Ovis aries: one gene and its partner. The protein of the gene in region 2 purifies or fractionates together with the protein of the main gene of each other region. This does not show direct contact. Links are inferred from orthologs where the notes say so. Each region holds a gene or a part of one and is shown on either strand. Other genes may lie near its edges.

The links. Proteins that work in one complex are often made in the same cells at the same time.
Region 1: the proteins of CDK5RAP2 (region 2) and PCNT purify together in Homo sapiens (co-immunoprecipitation; 4 studies listed by BioGRID and IntAct, with this or other methods). This does not show direct contact. The link is inferred for Ovis aries from reciprocal best matches to the Homo sapiens genes CDK5RAP2 and PCNT.

What each region holds. Positions count from the first base shown.
Region 1 is NC_056054.1:266,841,423-266,850,999, reverse strand, and holds the end of PCNT (pericentrin), read right to left. Parts: intron 9,002-9,577; coding exon 8,769-9,001; intron 7,081-8,768; coding exon 7,004-7,080; intron 6,086-7,003; coding exon 5,956-6,085; intron 4,303-5,955; coding exon 4,175-4,302; intron 3,725-4,174; coding exon 3,681-3,724; 3' UTR 3,261-3,680; downstream 1-3,260. UniProt on the Homo sapiens protein: Integral component of the filamentous matrix of the centrosome involved in the initial establishment of organized microtubule arrays in both mitosis and meiosis. Plays a role, together with DISC1, in the microtubule network formation.
Region 2 is NC_056055.1:2,934,739-2,945,387, reverse strand, and holds the start of CDK5RAP2 (CDK5 regulatory subunit-associated protein 2), read right to left. Parts: upstream 6,177-10,649; 5' UTR 5,994-6,176; coding exon 5,938-5,993; intron 1-5,937. UniProt on the Homo sapiens protein: Potential regulator of CDK5 activity via its interaction with CDK5R1. Negative regulator of centriole disengagement (licensing) which maintains centriole engagement and cohesion. Involved in regulation of mitotic spindle orientation.

The DNA of each region.
Region 1 (9,577 bases), on a different chromosome or scaffold from region 2:
GTTCAAGCATTGAGAAGAATGCCAGGAAGAAGCCAGGAGGCCTTGGTAAGAGGTCTGGTTGCTGCCACTTGAAGAAAGAAGCTGAGTGACACCCCCAGGCAAGTCATCTTGTCCACCTTCTGCACTTCCACAGTGGGTCTTGTGGGAGGCAGGTCTCCTTACTGCCTTGTAGACATCCTTGGTACCACTTGGCAATCTTTTCTCTGTCAAGTGTTAACCAGCTGGACAATCAACTACTCAGGGAAAACTTATCAATCAGGAACTCAGATCAGTGCTCTTTCTATACACAATGGACCACAATGCACCATCCAAAGTTGGCTGATAGGAAATCTTCCACAGCCCCAAGCTGGATATGTGTGACAACTGTCTACTTTTGGTTGAGGCTAGCACTCTTGCAGATCCATCTGCAGAACAAACCTGTGCTTCCTCCTGTTCTGCCAGCTGGTCACAGGGAATGTACCCTGAAACCACAGATACAGCCTGAAGAGGAGACATGAGGTAGGAGGAAGATTCAGCACCACGAGTCTGACCACCTGCTGAGTCATTCATGTATGCCTCCAGGGTCTGTTCAGGCCAGCTCTGTGTGCACTGGTGATGGACAAGCCTCCTGTGATGAAATCCTACCCACAGTGGGATGGCAGCGGGAGGTAGAAGCTCTGGGGGGCAGATGAGGCTGTGAGGTGGAGCCCTCAGGACAGGGGTTAGTGCCTTTACAAGGGTCATGAGAGCACTCGCTCCCCATTGTGCTTTCCATCATGTGATAACACGAGGAATAGTCAGCTGTCTCCAACTCAGAAGGGGCCCTCACCAGAACCCACCCTGTCAGCACCCTGATCTTGAACCTTAAGCCTCCAGAACTCTGAGACAAAGTTCCATTGGTTATACACCGCCCAGTTTATATTTTGTCATAGCAACCTGAGCTGAGACCATACTGTTTCTGGTTTTCAGTGGAAGGCTGCTGTTTACATCTAGTTTTATTGCTTGTACTTCTCTAGCTCTTGGGGGATACAATTTTGATGGGGTCCAGAGGTGATGGCATGTCCCAGGTGCAATCATGAAAGCTTTTACCGTGAAGTTCCCTTGTCATTCTTCCTCAGTGGGCAGGGACAACTTCTCTGCCTTACCTTAGGGTCTTTGCTTATATATCATCATATCATAATAATTGGTCCTAGTGAGTAGGAAGTAGTACCCTAGATGCCTTAGATGGTGAGAGCTAAATTCTTTGAAACATCTGTGGTGTGTGGACTATCACGGTTTCCGTTCCAGAATGAAAGACAAGTAGTCAAAGACACCCTGCAGAGCCCACAACTAAGAGAGGCCCAGGCTTGGTGCATGTGGACCTTTCTGTGACCACATCTTGGCTGCTGCTCCAGCCTACTGACTGAGAAAGCCAGAGGCTGTTGGGTTTGAGTGAGACCTGGACAAAGACCTGCAGGTCTGATGCTCAGGCAAGCTTATAGCTGGCCAGGCAGAAGTGTGGGCTGCCTGGGGACTCTATGCTGACCCCAGGTAGTGTCAGAACTGTACTGCAGGACATTTGGGTGGTGATGGAGAGGTGGCGGTGAACAAGATGATGCAAGCAGGTTGAGAAGGTGAGAGTTATGGCAACAGCTCTCTAGGGTTCCCATGGAATGTCTGCTGCGAGTCCCTGTGCCCGGTCCTCTCCTGTTCTGCAGATGAACCTGCTGTTTCTGCTGGGAATCCTCTAGGGACTTCCCAAATTCCTTGCTCACCATCACTGCTTCTGACAGAAAACTCTTCTTACAGCAAAAGTACATGCTAGGCTCATGACCCCGGGATTCCTTGATGTCACCCAGGTGCAGCTCAGCTTACTGGGAAGGCCTCCCTTCTGCCGACCCACTTATGGCCATTTCTCCTGCAGCCGAATATATCAGCCTGGGGCCACAGAAGGTGGGACGTGCCCCTCTTACTGCTGTCAGACAACCCTGGGGGAGTAACTGCTTTCTATCCGTGACTCTGCTCCATCCATGGGCTCTGCTGTGCTGGTGACAGTGGTCCCTCTGAACCAGCAGGGGTGGGGGTTCCTGCATCGGCTGGTGTAAGTGACCCGGTCACTGAGGGGAAGCCTGGGGGCTGGCACAGTACGAGCACAGTGAAACCTGTACCTGTAACTTGGTATCTCCAGGGACACCTCCTGTACTCAGTACTTTCAGGTTTGACTGTGTAAGAAAGGAAGTCCTCTAGAAACAAGACTGTTGAGGGCTCAGATCTTTTAGGAAGTACAGTGCTTGTCACCCAACCAGCTCAGTGAGGCCCAGAAAACCCAGCCCATGTGATGGAAGGAAGATGTGTGGATGCAGGGCACTGCCCTTTCTACCTTACTGCTACTCTGGACATCCCTCCTACTTCCCACGTGACATCTGCCTTGCAGGAGACTGTGCCCTGGGGTCACAGTGGACACTCCTTGGCCCCTGCACCATGAAGGGGAACCTCCCCTTGGTTTTAGGATCTTCTGATGAACTTAATGTGAACTGATTATTTTAGGGCAGAACTGGAGGTTTTCTAACTGTATCTATCGCTCCCTCTATATTAATAAGCTGGTGCTTTACTATGAAGAATTTCCCTCATCAGCAGGTGTGACCTGTGTTCTTTTCAATTATCAACCCCCATGGTAACAAGTTGGTGTGATGGTGGTTATGAGCCCAGTCCCTCCCTCGTTAGCTTAACACTGATGTACATGGATATTTATTTATTCAGTATTTGATCATAAATTTCAACTGTCATTCTTCTGGACGTTGAGAGTGAAAGGCCATTTCTTGGATTCCTGCGCCTGGAGCCGGTCAAGATTTCGGCTTCAGCAACATCACACGAAGAATGAGGACTGACTGGAAAAGGTAGGATGGCTGTAGAACAGTGACCTACGGCATACTGGCCAAGCGGCAGCAAACGCACCCAAGCTGCAGACAGAGAAAAACCCATCCCAAAGACAGATAAGCAGTGGCTTAGAAGAAGCTGTGTATTGAAACCAAGCCCAGCAGAATAAACATCACGTTCAAAGGTCCTAGAAACACACTGAGATACTTGTACATATGCCTTTACAGTGGCTGTTTGGGTAAAGGACACTTGGCTGGACATCACTACCAGGTACAGGTGAGCACGAGTAAAACATAAAGAAGATCCTAATCGTGAGAAATAAATACGTCTGACAAAAATAAAATAAGAGCCCAAGCAAGGTGAGTCAACAGGCACATGGCTATTTGTCTTACCAGCGCTTTCAGAGTTTTTTTGACTGACAGGAGTTTATAAAAAAAATTCTAACTTTTATTTTTTTGCCAGTGATAAAAGTGAACTGGAGAAACGAAACAACAAAACACAGGACTATTCACAAGTACATCAGGGCTCTTTTTTTTTTTTTTTAATGTTTTTGTTTTAAACCAAGTTTCCAGCTGTACACTTTAAGAAAATAAACAGGAAGTCATCCTCTGCTTATCCTCTGTGGAGGTAGGCATGCAGGCATGACTGAAACCAAGGGGCTACCTCATCAAGATGAGAAGCTAAAATGTGCTGAATTACAAAGAAAATACCCCATTTGGCTTCACAGCAAAATGTAAGGGTGAGAACACTTAACGGATGACACGGGGCTGGCACTCAGCATGCCACAGCACAAGCTTCCCCTCAGAAAATCAAATGTCTTCCTCAAAATTGTCACAGGACTTTATTCACTGTTTAATCTTCTGGCAGCAGGACTTCTTTGAAGTGGACTCTGAACACAAAGAGAAATGAGGAAGCAATCTGTTAGAAGGCTTCACGTCTTTTAAGAGGAATTTCACAATTTCCAAACACTTCCATTGCATTAATCTTATTTTTGGTGAAAACAGAAACAGCAATCAAGAGGCACAGTAGTTTAAACTATGAGGGATGAGAAACTGAACAGACGACACCCTGTGAACACGGCGTGATGGCCGTGTGAGACGAAGGCCCGGAGGCCCATCTGGTGCTTGAGCCCGCAACCCCCACGTGGTGTGCCCTTCACCCCGCCCCAGCCCTCAGGTGCCTGCACTGGTACTTCTACCAACCCTCCTCCTGGTACTTCAGCGACGGCTGGTCAGCAGGACAGATACTGACAAGGCTGACCAGGCTGCATCCCAACCACCTCCACGACTGACCGCTCCCGAGTCTCTCGGGTCACGGGGGAAGACAGGACTTGGGTTACCTGGTGGCATGCCTCCCAGTCTTTGCTGGATCATTTCTAAGTGGTGAATATACTCTGTCAAGGAATGTTCTGGATCTTGAGAAGCAGTCAGGGATCTTTCTGATCTGGGATTTGAGGGTGGACTGGATCTTCAAACACACAAACAACCAAGGGACAAAAAAGAAGTCAACTCAGCAGACAGAATGCAGGGGTGTGACAGGCAGTGGCACCAGGACTGCACACTAGTGGGAAACGGGGTAAATGATGTTATCTTCCCATCGTTTCTTCACCACAAAGGGAAAGTATGGCTTTAAAAACAGTGCTACACTGTCCTTTAGAAACTAACTTTTTTACAAGGTCTCCAAGTATAAGATGACTAAAAGCTATTGTGTATTATTATGTATTATTTAATTCAATAAATCTTCACACACAAGTTTCTACCTAGCATTCCACCCGGTTCAGCCCAGCATCCCTCATGTGGCTGCCTTTCCTCCTGACCTCCAGTGACCATGTCACGGCCCACTGCTGCTCCCAGGGCAGCGAGCATCTTACTCACCCGAGCACCATCCACACACAAGAGGCCTTGGCCACCACTTATTCTTTCAGAGGAGCACCAGCCTGGGCCCAGGGGGGCCACAGCCGTACTGAGAGTCCCTGCCCTCCTCGAACAGAACCAGGCTTTTGGGTCCTCACAGGCTCACGTGTCTGTACGCTCTGCCTCACTCTGGGGCCATGACTTTCAAAACACATTTCTCGGAGGGACTACATGCACTGGTAGGATATGCTCAGCAGAGACACACATGAGCAGAAACACAGCCTCTAGCACAGCAGGCTGCCCGTACTTGTGGGCCTGGCTCCTCCGGTCAGGGCAGTTATGCCCAAGATTGTCACACTCTTAACACACAGTTCAAATGGAGGCGTCATCACCAACCAGAGGCCATGAAGTGAGACAGCAAACATGTTTCATCCTGCTAGCTGGGGGCAGAGGTGGACGTGTTTGCTCTGAGAGCTCCTTTCTGAGTCCCAGGAAAGCACTCGCAGAGAAAGCAGATGACACACCTGCCCGGCCCCAGTGCAGGTCCAACACCACAGATACAAACTGAGCTTTTCTACCCGCTTCATGGGTAGGTTCAAAGGCAAAAGAATGAAATAAATGACTTGTTAAATCATACTTGAGCATTTGGATACAATTATTACTACTTATGTGTCAATCTGAAGTGGAAATGGAAATCACATCTCTCTCACATGCAGCGCTTGGCTGAGAAATCTCATGGTCAGGAAACTGGGGTGCAAATCATGAAGATGATCAAGGCCGCGCATGTGACCCCACGGCTGCAGCACTTCACAGTCTCACAGAATCACAGCTCCCACCACCCCAGCCACCAGGGAAACCTTTCCTCACTTGAATTTGTAAACGGGATTACACTCTACCATTTAACTACACAGCCTAATTGAAAACCCTATTCCCCCAAATAACTTACAGATGTTTAACATTATCACTCCAACATCTCACTTGCCAAGTAAGTCATAAGTATAAAGACATATTACACATGCAAAACCCCCAAATCCCAAAGAAAAGAGATTAAGTAAAGCTAACACCAAACCCTTCCATGTGTGTGAATGAGTGTGTGCATGTGTGTGGGGGTTCACGTGCCTGGGGGCCCTTCCACTGGAGGCGGACCCGGGCACCCACACAAATCTGCCCCGGAACACTTCTGTGCAAGGCCCCATTCTCTGCAGACTTGCCCCTGCCGACAGCTAGGACCCCGTAGTGGAAAAGCAGCTGAGACTCCTCCACTCACCTTTCCCTCCTGCGTGGGGATGCTTTTGACACAGGGTCCCTGGGCTGGCTGGAAGACACATCCCGGGTGGGTGGGGATTCACGGGTGACAGGTGGAGACTGCTGCCGCCGTGGTACCAGGAATCCTTCCCCTAGGAATAGTTAACAACAAAGGGATTAAGGAAAGAGAAAAAATGCATTTTAGTAAAGGCTCATCCACCAAAATTTAAAATTTACAAGCTTTTAAGAGCCTGCATGACAATTTCTAGACATTTAAAAAGTATTCGTTATAAGGACTGTATTAAAAAAACCTCAAGAAGGAAACTGAGTTTTGAGCACCTGCATTTTGCTCCTGCAAAGGCAGTCCCTGACCATCTGCATCTGGGTGGGCAGTATCCTGGAGGAGGGCTCAGCACCCCAATGGAGAGAGGAGGGCACTGAGTGGCCTGAAGTGGATCTCCCACACCCAGCTCTGAGGAGTGAGAGACGCAGAAACCCTGGAGGCCATCAGGTTCATCAGAGGCAGGGGGTGTGGGGAAACCTCCTGAAGAACCTTGAAGCCATCTGACTTCAAGATGTGAGGATTCACACGTGGAAGTCTAAGCTGACGGGCACCACTAGGGAAGCCCAGTGGCCATGTAGGGCACTGACCACTGCAGATGGCCCAGGTGGCTTGGCTACACCCGGGCCTGGCTGGTCAGATATGGTAGCAAACAACCGCAGACTGGACGGGACTGAAACAAAGGATGCAGCCATGCTCCCTGAGTGAAGTAGAACTTCACTCCATTTAAGGAATAGAAAGACTTTTTATTGAAAATAAACTATCAGTCAATACATTCAGCATTTCTGTATCCTTCAGTCATTGCTATGCTCCTCTGAACCGCTTTCTTCATAGATATTAACTATACAAATCTGTGTTTGTTGCCCAAATAAAAACCATTTTCCTTCTAAATCCCTGCACCTCCTGACAAGTGTACTGGCTGAGTCGCTGGTTTCTCACTATGCTTTGTGTCTTCCCACCTGGCACTGAGAAGGAACCCCGATACTGAAACATGTGGGGTCAGAGGTACCTGGGCGCAGCACTTGGCCTGGGGCTAGGGCTCCTCTGCCATCTACTTGTTGCCACTTCTTAACCAAAAAGCGTAATCTACAAAAAAGGAAGAAAAACACTGAAAACCAGAGCAAAGTCGGGGTGTAAATAACCAAGAACATTTAGCCCTGACCAGACCCTGTAGTCGGAGAAGGCAATGGCACCCCACTCCAGTACTCTTGCCTGGAAAATCCCACGGACAGAGGAGCCTGGTAGGCTACAGTCCATGGGGTTGTGAAGAGTCGGACATGACTGAGACTTCACTTTCACTTTCATGCACTGGAGAAGGAAATGGCAACCCACTCCAGTACTCTTGCCTGGAGAATCCCAGGGATGGGAGCCTGGTGGGCTGCCGTCTATGGGGTCGCACAGAGTCGGACACGACTGACGTGACTTAGCAGCAGCAGACCCTGTAGTGCGAGCACAGCCCCCACCCTGGCAGTACCTCCACAGGCCCCACCCTGCCCCTCCAATCACAGCCCCGCCCCCCAGCCCCACCCAGGCAGTCGCCAGCACCTTCCCAGGCCCCGCCCCACTCCCAGCCCTTCCAATCACAGCCCCGCCCCGCCCTGTGCTCCCAGCCCCGCTCTCAGTTCCTAGCCCCGCCAGCTTGAGGTCTGTCTGGGTCGATGGCCTCTTGCTCTCTATGCATCGCTCCATTCATGGGGACCAGAGGTGAAGCAGTGTGGGGGCTCCGAGACCCTTCTCCTCGATGACCCCTGGCAGCGCCCCGATAGCACTGCTGCTGCTGGGTCCCAAGGCTGCGAAGCACCGCTGTGTACTGACCAGAAGACGGACCATCTGGCCACCCCCACCCACATGTGACCTTCTTCCTGGCCCAGGGTAGGCTCTCCAAAACTACATGACAGATGGGTTTCAGAGTGACAGTCAGGTGGGTGGACGGTCTGCCCTCAGAAGAACGCAGAGGGAAGTGCCCACCCCCACGGGGGGCTCCTAGTAGGTGTGCAGCTGAACCAGCTGGGGCGCTGCATCTCGAGGGCCTTGGGACCCCCTGACCTTCGCATACAGTCCAGGAAAGAGCCAGGGTGCCCCGCTCACCCCATGGCACCTGTTCTTGCTGACAGGTGAGTATGGCCTGGAAGAGGCACCTCCGTGGGCAACACAGAGCAGACACAGATGTACAGTTCTTAGTAGAACAGACGTTTTTAGAGATAGAGCAGATATTAAAATTATAAAACGAAATAGATTTTCATCACTGTTAATTGTGAAACAGTCAAAATTTCTTGTCGTCACACCAGGGAGTCCACCTCACTCCAAAAGTGCCTCCTGCACACACACTGGAGGCTGGGCAGGGCCAGGCAGGTGGACACTCAGAGGCAGGGGCACCCCCTGCCCACAGCGCAGGCTCAGAGCTTGTCTACAGGGAGGGCTGGAACATGCCACCTGGGGGCAGGGGGAGGGCATGTCTTCCTGTGCACATGTCGACCTTCATGTAACACAGATTTGACTAAAATATAAGAAACTGAAATGTAAAGAAGCAAAATACAGTTTTAACCATGATCAGACTGTCGTCACAAGAGCCCCGTTAAGAGGAAGGCTTAGTTTTATAATAAAAAGGCAGCCTTATACACTTCTGTCTCAGAAGGTGTAGCTCTGCACAGAGTGGTTTCCAGAAGATAAAGGTCGTTTACATTTTAAGGCCTCAAATGTCATTCATCTTAAACGAGGAAACAACTGTAGAGTTTAAAAGACCGAAGGACCTCACACCAGCAGACAGGCAGTACCTTAGGACGGCGATCACCACCCTGACGGCCGTGCGGAACCTGGTGAAGGGGCGGGACTCCGTTGCCTTCTTGTCTGCTTTGGAAGGGAACACCCCCAAGTGGGCGATCATGGACAGGGTTTCCTGTTCAGAGTCCTGGAAGCCACCGATGAGCAGCAGAAGGTACTTCTTCTGATAAATCAGGGCTTTTCTAAAGCTCTCTGCTCTCAAATAACGCAGGTACAACTTTTCCATCTAAAAGGAAAAAAACAGTGAAACTTGGTCACAGGACAAAGACATCCTCCTCAGAAGTCTCCACAGCAGAGCTGTTGCACCAAGTGCTTTAGAAGAACCAGACTTTCTCCTCAGAAATTATCACAGGGTTTGGCTCCCATGACATCTGTGACCAGAACCAACCTTGCTGTTCAGAGTTCCATCTGGTTTATCAGACAAAACGCAGAGCAGATGTTGCTTTGCCAGCACTGGAGGAGCCCAAGGGCCCCAGGAATCAACCACCGAGCGTGGGCCAGACTAGGGGCAGGTGGAGCTCCGCTCCCAGGCCCGCAGGCATCCAGGGAGGGGAGGCTGCGGGAATCCTGAGGTCACAGGCAGAAGTCGGCATCCTATCCTGACGGGGCTTCCCTCAAGAGGCCCCCTTGGGCCTCATGGTCAGAAATGCTGCGTGAACTGCAGGCCAAGGGTTTTCTCAGGCTGCAGACACGATGCCCTGAGATTCAAGGCATCAGGGGTTTCACCCCAACCCAGGATCTTAAGAGGCACCACAGGTGGAGCCTGGAGGCTCTGTAAAGCGGTAAGAACACTCCGCATGAC
Region 2 (10,649 bases):
ACAAAAACTTGTACACACATAAATGTTTATAGCAAAAGAGCCAGAAAAGCAAGAACCTAAATATCAGCAACCAATCAACGAACAGAAACGGGTACATGTTTAAAACAGAATACTCAGTCACAGCAAGGAATGAAGTCTTAACACATGCTACAACACAGAGGAGTCTCACAAAAGTCCACATATTGTAATATCTCACTTTCATGAAATGTCCAGAATAGCCAAACCTATAGACAAAAGGCAGACTGTGGTTGCCTAGGGTGCAGGAAGGGTGCAGGGGGTGGAACGGGGAGTGGTGCAGGCTAACCGTGTCCTCCGGCATTCATACGATCAGCCCAGGCCCCACCTGCGGGATGTATTAGGAGGTGAGCCTCGGGGAGGTGATTCAGACCAGATGAGGTGGAGACGGTGGCGCCCTCAGGAGTGGCGCTGGCGCCTTGAAGCGTTCCCAGGGCTCCCACCTCCTCTCTTTGCTCTCCACCACATGAGGGTACAGTGAGAAGCAGGTCCTCACCAGAACCTGACCACACCGGCACCCTGACCTCATGCTTCCAGGCGCAGGAACTGTGAGAAACCAACTTCTGATGTCAATAACGGGCTTCCCAGGCGGTGCGAGTGGTAAAGACTCCGTCTGCCAGCGCGGGAGGCAGAGGAGACGGGGCTCCAGTCCCCGGGTCAGGAAGATCCCCCGGCACAGAAAATGGCAGCCCACTCCAGTGTTCCTGCCCGGAAAACTCCATGGACAGAGAAGCCTGGCGGGCTACAGTCCATGGGGGCGCCAAGAGCTGGACACGACTGAGGATTCACGCAGGTAGTCAGTAAGTTACCCAGTCTACAGTTTTCTGTTACAGCAGCCCAAGCTAAGACTGGAAGTAAATGCTAATGGGCACAGGGTTTTCTGGATAATGAAAATGTTCTAAAATTAAGATTATGGTGATGATTGCACAACTCTGTAGATATACTAAAAAAAAAAAAAAACACTGAATAGTATATTTCAAATGGGTAAACTTTATGGCATATAAATCAGATTTCAGTAAAGCTGTTAAAAACACACAAGGCACATTTTTAATGCCAAACTGTGTTCCAACAAGCTTGTACCATTTACACTCTGCTGTGCACTTTTTCACGCAGTGATTATAAAGCAGCATTTCACTACAAAATAGGGAGCCTATATTCACGGTATTTATCTTTTCAAACAGAGACTGAACAAGATTGATTCATTCAACAAATAACTGTTGAGCCTCTACTATATATCAGACTTCGTTCCTTCTAAAGATCCAATCGGGAAGAAGCCAGACACGCTCCCTGCCCTTGCTGAGCTAACCCTGGCGACCGGGAGCATCTCCTCAAACCTCACAGCCCAGGGGTACCTCTAGTCCGAGGTCGGCCCTGGATGAAGCTTCACCAAGCCTCAGTTGGTAAGTGGCAAGCCTTCACCAGAAATTTCATTCTGCCATCCTCTTTCTCAATCTCCTTTTACAAAATCCACGAAGATATTCTTTGCCTGAGAAAGTACAAACTGTGTACAAACTTATAGGAGCCATTTTTTTGGGTCTGCCCCTAAGCAGGCAGGAGGCACTTAATGGCCATGTGCTTAAGGAACCCACAGATGAACAGGCCTGGCCAGGCCTTTGGAAACTCAGGCAGAGGCAGAATCCTTGGCATGAAACCAAAGGGGTGAACCCAGGGGAGTGGGCACAGAGGACTTTGTCCAGAAAACGGTGTAACACGGTAATAGCTAAACAAACACCAGCCAACACTGAATGTACTCCCCCATCGGTTCCAGGTGCTTAAAACATGCAACTTTGCTTCATCCACAAAGTCACCCAACAAAACAGAAACTTCACTGAAGGAAACTGAGAATTAGGACAGTTACGTGAAAACCCCAGCAACACGGCCAGCACCCCGCTGAGGCAGGACTCTGACGCAGGCGTCCTGCGCACAAAGCCCAGGTCCTTCCAACACCATCGGGCCTAATGAAAGGGCCCCAAGGACCAGGATCCAGGCCTAAACCTCACAGAGCCGGAGCTCCTGGGGTACCCACCGGTGACCGAGCCTGGAGAGGAGGACACACACTGCCCAAACTCAACAGAAGGCCAAGGACAATCCGACTTCAGTTCAGTCTCTAAAACCGGGGCCTGGAAATTACCAAGCAGAAGAGCATCCATATCAGCATAAAAAGATTCCTCATGTTCCAGGGGTTTTTCTCCTCCACTCGGACCACCTGATGGAGAAGCTGACTCTGAGGGCCAGTTCCAGCCCACAGCAGTTCCACAAAATCCTCCCAGAATCCTCTCAGATTTGGTTCAGAGAACTAGGTGAAAGGCAGGATGGGGCACCGAGAGCCAGACTTTGGAGTATGCAGGCCTGGATTTTAAATCCTGGCTTGATCATGTGCTTTTTGGTGGGATCTCAGGGTGCTCACTTCACCTCTCTGAACCTCAGTGTCCTCACCTGGAAAAAGTGAATAAAACCGTCACCTCACTGGACCATTGTTCATCCAGGGAATTAACAGACAGGTACTGAGCCCCTACCATGAGCCAGATACCAGGTTAGGAAGTCGAATTACAAAGATGGTCACAATGCAGCCCCTGTTCTCAACGCAGGTCAGAGTCGAGTCTGGGAGAAAGACAAGTTAACAGCTGTGCCTGCAGCGGCCAGCGTATGGACCGACCGAGCACCTGAGATGCGGCGCCTCTAAATCGAGAAGGGTGGTAAGTGCAAGACACACACCGGACTTCAGAGACTCAGTAAGATCAGAGAGAAAGCAAAATATCTCGTTAGCATTTATTTGACTACAAGTTAGAATGATAATATATGGAAATATTAGGTTAAATAAAACATTAACTAATTTCAGCAGTTTCTTTGTACACTTTTAATGTGGCTATTAGAAAACTTTAAATTACATACATGGCTCAAATTATATACTGATTGGACTGCATTAGTTGAAAAAATTCAGTGAAGTCATGGGACTTCTCTGGCAGGCCAGTGGTTAAGACTCCAAGCTTCCACCGCAGGGGACTTGGGTTTGACCTTTGGCCAGTGAACTAAGATCCAGCATGATATGGTCAAAAAAAGAGAAAATTCAGTGATGTCAATAAGGGCTGTGAATACATCAGTGATGGGGGACTAAAGGAGAACAGAGGGCCCAGGTGGGGAGAGGGGATGTCAGTGAAGGATTCCTGGCAGTGACATCTAAACTGAGATGTGAAAAATAAGGCAAAGCAGAGGAGAGAGGGCAATCCAGGCGGCAGGCACAGCAAGTACCCAGGCCCAGCAGCAGAAAGAACAAGGCAGGTCATTCATAACAGTTTGGCAGCCGGCAGGTGACAGGCTTGGAGAGGAAACAGGGAAGGGAGAGGGGAGGCAGGACCCTAGTGAGGTAGATGGGGCCGCAGTACAAAGGAGCTCAGAAGCCGCATTAAAGAACTTGATCCTGGGGGCAGAAAGGAGCCAGGGAGAGTCTTAAGTAGGTAAGAGATTAGCTCAGCAATGTATGCAGCACCAGGGTTACCAGCAAAGGCAGGGAGAGGAGAACAAGGAAAATGTTTGATGTTTTGCTGAGTTGCTATTCTGGGTCAGACATTGGGCTAAACTCTTTTAGACTCATCCATTTTACAGATGATGAAAACTGAGGCTCACAGAGGGTGACTTGCCCAAGGTCACATGATTGTTAAGTGTCAGAAGTGGGATGGAAACCCAGCTAGGTCTAGGCTGAAGCTCCAATACTTTGGTCACCTGATGCAAAGAGCCAACTCATCGGAAAAGACCCTGATGCTGGGAAAGACTGAGGGCATGAGGAGAAGGGGACGACAGAGGACGAGATGGTTGGATGGCGTCACCAACTCAATGGACCTGAGTTTCAGCAAGCTCCGGGAGGTGGTGATGGACAGGGAGGCCTGGTGTGCTGCAGATCAGCGGGTCTCAAAGAGGTGGACACAACTGAGCAACTGAACAAGATTCCAAAACTGGTACTGAGATGTGAAGAGCTGCCTGAGAGAGTGATGTGCCTCTTTGCAACCCCATGGACTGCAGGCCTCCAGGCTCCTCTGTCCACGGAATTTTCACAGGCAAGAACGCTAGAGTGGGTTAACCATTTCCTACTCCAGATCTTCCCCACCCAGGGATCAAACCCATAGCTCTTGAGTCTCCTGCGTTGGCAGGCAGATTCTTTGCTACTGAGCCACGTGGGAAGCCCCGAGTAATAACGGACTTTAACTTAATGGCAATGAAAGGCATTCAACATATAAAGCAGCAGACTGTGGTGATCAGATTTGTACTTTTAAAACGAGCTTTTGAGCTATAGTATAAAAGGCTATCAGAGGTGTGAAGGAAACTAGGGCAATCCAGGTGAGGGGTGATATACCACTTACCAACTGAGCTATCAGGGAAACCCACAATATACCCAGGCAGTGGCAGAAAGATGATGAGAAAGGAACATGACAAATCACCTCAGGATTCAACTAGCAGGAGCGTCAAAGGGCCTTACTCTGTGTCTGATAAAATTGTTCACTAAGTCATGTCCGACACTTTGCGACCCCATGGACTGCAGCACATCAGGCTTCCCTGTCCTTCACCATCTCCCAGAGTCTGCTCACACTCATGTTCATTGAGTCGATGATGCCATCCAACCATCTCATCCTCTGTCATCCGTATGAATGGTTTCTCTGTTGGGCTCTCAATAAACAGAGCAACCATTTGTCAGGCTTGCCCAAGACAGGACCTGTTTATGTCTGCTGCTCAGGAATAAATATTAACTGTGTCCATTCTACTCTTAAAAGCATCCAGATATGCACACAGCAAATAACATGTCACCCTCTCAGTTAGGACCAAAAGAGGCAGCCTGTTCCTGGCAGAGCTGGATAAATGCCACAGGTTCTCTGGGCTCTCCTCTGAGTCCTCCTACCCTCTCCCCAACCAGGAGCCCAGGACAAGCAAAGGGGCCCAACTCGATAGCAGTGCAGGACCTTTTCAGGCCTCCCTCCCAAGAGAGACCCCCCACCCCACCAGCAATGTGGACTCCAACTGCCTCCTGGGACAGGTTCATTCGGCCATTATCCCCCAATTTGTACTACTGCTGTTGATGACCACGACGATGGTGGTAGTGATAATGGCGGGACCAAATCATTTTTAAAGCACTGATAATATGCCAGGCTGGAGAAGGCAATGGCACCCCACTCCAGTACTCTTGCCTGGAAAATCCCATGGACGGAGAAGCCTGGTAGACTGTGGTCCATGGGGTCACGAAGAGTCAGACACGACTGAGCGACTTCCCTTTCACTTTTCACTCTCATGCATTGGAGGAGGAAATGGCAACCCACTCCAGTGTTCTTGCCTGGAGAATCCCAGGGACGGGGGAGCCTGGTGGGCTGCCGTCTATGGGGTCGCACAGAGTCGGACACGACTGGAGTGGCTTAGCAGTAGCAGAACTTGAATCAGTTCTGTTCAACTCCAGCCAAGGTTCTTAACCACTGCACCCCACGGCCTGAGTCATGGCGGCCACTATGTGACTCATAAGCAAAGTCTGGACAGACCAACTACACTCCCTACAAGGAAAGCAAACCCCCAAACCACAATGAGCCACCAAGTACCCTCAAGGTCCCCGCCCCTCAACCAGCCCTCACTAACTGCACACTCCAAGACGTTCCATCTCCCTCTCTTTCAGAAAACCCCTCACCTGTCCCTCATCTCCTCTTCAAAATATGTCCCGAAATACGAGACATGGGGGCGACGCAGGGCGGGACCCTCAACCACCTACACTCAGTTATCAGTGGGCGGGTCCCCAAAGAGACCGTCCCCGAAGAAACCCATCTCACACACTCCCCACGCCAGGAACCCTCACACCCCCTCAGAGGCAAACCTCGAGTCTCGGATGGACCGAACCCCCATCCGTGGGAACCCCGGCCCGGTTACCGCGAACCCACAAAGCCCGGGCCGCACCTGCAGCCGCTACGCGTCCCGGGGAGGGTGACGTCTTCTTCCAACACCGAGTCCATCGTGGACACAGAGGAGGTGGTGCCGCTGGTGTCTAGCGACGGCGCCACTGCTTCCCCCGCGGGATCGCGACCCGCCCGGCTCCCCAGGTCCCCGCCCCCTCCAACCCAGCTCTTGTTCGGACTCCGGCGGCGCCGCTGGAATTCAAACCGCAGCGGCCGCCATCTTTCCCGGAGCTTCTTCCTACGGAAACGAGGCGGGGTCGCCGAAGCGCGCGCGGTGAAGCCAACCGGACTGGCCAGGAGACCGGGCAGGGAAGCGCTGGCGGGGCGCCATATTAACTAAGGGCAGAGCGCCTGCACTTGTACCAGCAAGACCGAAGGAAAGAGCGTTAGGCCGCCATTTTTAGTGAGGGCACGCGGGACGAGGCTAGCGGAGGCGCCATCTTTGTTCAGGGCTGAGCCAGATTTGGGCCGTTAATTTAAGCGGGAGATGGGAATTCGGCACCTACCTTTGGGGAGCCGCATAACTCCTAACCAAGTGTATACTCCGAACCTTAGGGTCTGGGCATCCCAGAGGCTTCCGCCTTGAACTGAAACTCCGTTAATCGGTTGTGGGAGTCGCTTTAGAAAAATCCTACCTACATATTCCCAACTCGAGTAATTTGCACACTTGGTTTGAAATAGATAAGCGCATCCCTATGAGCCTAGTGGTCAGTGACACTCCTTCTCCAGCCTCAAACCTAGTTAACTTTTATTACCTGTAGGGCTCGAATAATGCACCTGGGATCAGTATGCTGCTGCTGCTAAGTCGCTTCAGTCGTGTCCGACTCTGTGCGACCCCATAGACGGCAGCCCACCAGGCTCCCCCGTCCCTGGGATTCTCTAGGCAAGAATACTGGAGTGGGTTGCCGTTTCCTTCTCTAATGCATGAAAGTGAAAGTCAAAGTGAAGTCGCTCAGTCGTGTCCGACTCTTAGCGACCCCATGGACTGCAGCCTACCAGGCTCCTCCGTCCATGGGATTTTCCAGGCAAGAGTATTGGAGTGGGGTGCCAGTGGGATCAGCATACTGAGGCCAAATGAGAGGAAAGACTCGCCTAACTGCATGCACCGGAAGTCTGTCGACAGGACACATCCGTGGCTCCTGCGGACTATCAGTATATCTGAGCTCTCTGCTAGCCCTGGCCGCCTTTCTTAAAGCACACAGCAATCACTAGATCATTTTGGCAGAGCTTGACCTGTGAAAGCAACCTTCTCCTCATCTCGGTGTTCCTACCTTCCTCTGCAGACTGTCCGGAGAGCAGAGAGCCGGATAAAAATAACTTGAAAAGATGAATGACTGGGTAGATATACCCATCCTCCTTCAGCCTCAGTTTCCTCATTCTTTCCAAAGGGGCCTTTTTAATACTCTGATCTACAGCAAACCCTTTCTTGTATTCTCAGCAATGTGTAATTTTTTCCCCTTTGTGGCACTCACCACATTTTGCAATCCCATACTTCTGTATATAATTTTTTTTCTTATGTCTTCAGCACTAGACTGGAAGTTCTGTGAGAGCGGAGACTGTTCAGAATTGTTCAAGGCTGTATCGCCAACACCCAGCAGGGGTTTAAATATATATGTTGATGAATGGTTCACTCAGTATGGAAAATGGGGCTGATATTATCCTGCAAGGTTTCTTCAAGTTATTTTATTGAAGTATCATTGATTTACAGTGCTGTGTTAGTTTCTGTTGTATACAAAGTGATTCAGTTGAATGTATGTATATATGTGTATATGTCCCCTTCTCCAAGGGATCCTCCCAACCCAGGGATCGAACCCAGGTCTCCTGCATTGCAGGCGGATTCTTTACCGTCTGAGCTACCAGGGAAGCTATGGAGATATATGGAGAAGGCAATGGCAGCCCACTCTAGTACTCTTGCCTGGAGAATCCCAGGGACGGGGGAGCCTGGTGGGCTGCCGTCTATGGGGTCGCACAGAGCGACTTAACAGCAGCAGCATATATATATGTATCTATGTATGTATGTATGTATGTATGTGTGTATGTGTATGTATGTGTGTGTATGTGTGTGTATGTGTGTGTGCATATGTGTGTATGTATGTGTGTGTGTGTATGCGTGCATGCATGTATATATGTATTTATGTATATGGGCTTCCGTGGTGGTCCAGTGGTCAAGAATCCACCTGCGAATGCAGGAGACACAAGAGACACGGTTCAATCCCAGGGGCGGGAAGATCCCCTGGAGGAGAACGTGGCAAGCCACTCCAGTATTCTTGCCTGGACAATTCCATGGACAGAGAAGCCCGCCGGAGTCACAAAGAGCCGGACACAACTGAGCATGCGTGCGTGTGTGTGCGTGTGTGTGTGTGTGTGTGCGTGTATAATATTCTTTCTCAGATTCTTGTCCATATGGTTCACCACAGGACATTGACTAGTTCCCGGTGCCATATGGCAGGACCTTGTTGTTCATCCATTCTATATATAATAGTTTGCATCTTATCCTGCAAGGTTTTTGTGACAATGTGGAGATGACCTCAGATTCCTTTACTACCTGGTCAATGGTAGTCCCATCTCTCTCCCTCCCGCAGCCCCCGCCAACTCCCTCTCTCTCTCTCTCTCTCACACACACACACACCCCCCTTAGTGAAGGCGGCAAATCACTGCCCTGTCCCGCTTCCATCCCCAGATCTTCAACCACCTCCAGAATCAGCAATAAAATAACAGTCTGAAAGAGAGTGGGCAGGAACCAGCGGGCATGCAGGGAAGGGGCAGCCCTCGATTCCCTGGAACCAACAGTCCAATAAGACGAGTGTGTCGGAAAGCAGGGGAGCTGGCGTGTCAGGATTCCTGCCGTGATTCCGCCCCTGACTTCCTGAGATCTTCGGCAGACCGCTCCTCTTCTGGGCCTCAGAAGGCTGTTAAATGGGAGGATTGGACTGGATGGCTGTCTCAAGACCTTACAGATCTAGGGAAGCTTTCTTTCTGTTGATTTCAAAGCTTCTAGTGCACAACCAGCTCTGTTCCGGTGTGGAGGGCTGAGTTGCAAATCATTACTTCCCGAATGAAGGGACTAACTTTCTGTCCGGCAGATGAAAGCTCTTGAGAAGGGAAGGAAGGCAGAGGTTGTGCACACTGTGACGTTTCTTACGCGACACCTGTGCTAGGGACATCGCAAACGGTGCTGAATCTAACACAACCACCCTCCGGGCAGGTGCTACTGTTATCCCCGTTTCACTCACAGATGGGAAGACTGAGGCTGAAAGAGGTAAAAATAACCTTCTTGAGGTCTCCCTGCTGGTAAGTGGTAAAGCTCGGATTTGAGCCCAGGTCCCTCTGAACCTTCCTGAAAACTCTAATTGTTTCAGGAAGCCTGTCCGCTCTATTTGTTTCTCTCCACTTTAGAACTTGGGATTAAGAGGTGAGGTCTACATTTAGACACTAGTATTTCAGGGATATGTCCACCAGACTCTACAACTTAGACACCTGCTTCCAGGTGGCCCCAAGATGAATCTAGGTGTGGGCAACTCAGGACCGGAAGTCTGGGTGCCGGGATCCTGACTCTGGGAGGTCGTCCAGCTTATCCTGGGGCCTGGGTCTCTTTCCCTGGCTCCTCCTTGGTTTTCCTTTGTGTAAAATGGGAGAGACCATGCTGAGCTCACATGGTTACGTTCGATACTTTGGAAACTCTAAAGAAGAAAGAGCCGGGGAGGGGTTCTCCTTATGATGAATCTACTGCCCTTTCAGCAAATGGCCATATGCCTGGCTTATGTGCTAAACGCTTCAGTGAACCTGGAAACTGAAAATAGAGCCAACTGCACAAAAGATGGGCTATTTGGGCAGTTGTTTTCTGTTCTCGTGGTCAGGGGCGAAGCCCTCTGCCCCGTCTCGTCTCCGGCTCACCATGGCCTTTCTTTCTGCCAAGCCCGGAGGTGACGTCACTACCACCAGCTGTTTGGGCTATCTGGCGCCATCTCCTTGACGACAGCCACCCAGCCACAAAGCTGGCATTATTATTTCCCTGGACAAGGTCATATCGAATGGCTGGGAGGAAGTCGCTTGCAGCCAGATGTTTCTCATTAGGGTAGAACCCTCAAGACACAGGAGCTGCCATTCCTAGCAGCAAAAATAAGGTTTCACAGCACGGATACATGCACACTGCTACTTTGCATGGGTTCATTTTCTCCTTTCAGCACTGTGAAGTAGATTAGGATGGCTGGCTGTCTTGCTCTTCAGGTTAGGAAAGTAAGGCTCAGAGAAGGGAAGAGACTTGCCAACAGCCACACTTTCTTCCTTTCTCTCTCTCTCTTTCTTAGCTTTTCATTCAGAAATAATTTCAATCTTAGAAAAAGTTGCAAAAAGAGTACAGAGATTTCCTAATATAACCATCACCCAGCTTCCTAAAACTACTAATATTTTACATAACCATAACTCAATTGTCAAACATAAGAAATTACATTGATATGATATGATTCACTACAGATTTTATTTACATTTAAGCAGTTTTCCCATTGATGCCATTTTTTTGGCCCAGGAGCCATCCAGGCTTCCATGTGGCTCTGTCCACATCTTTCATGACGCTGACACTTTAGGAAAGTTCAGCCCAGTGGTCTGGGCTCGTGTGGTGTTTCCTCGTGGTAAAACTGACGCTGTGCACTTCTGGCAAAAGTGCCGCACAAGTGACGCTGTGCCTTCCGCAGCTACCAGGAGGCGTGTGCGCGT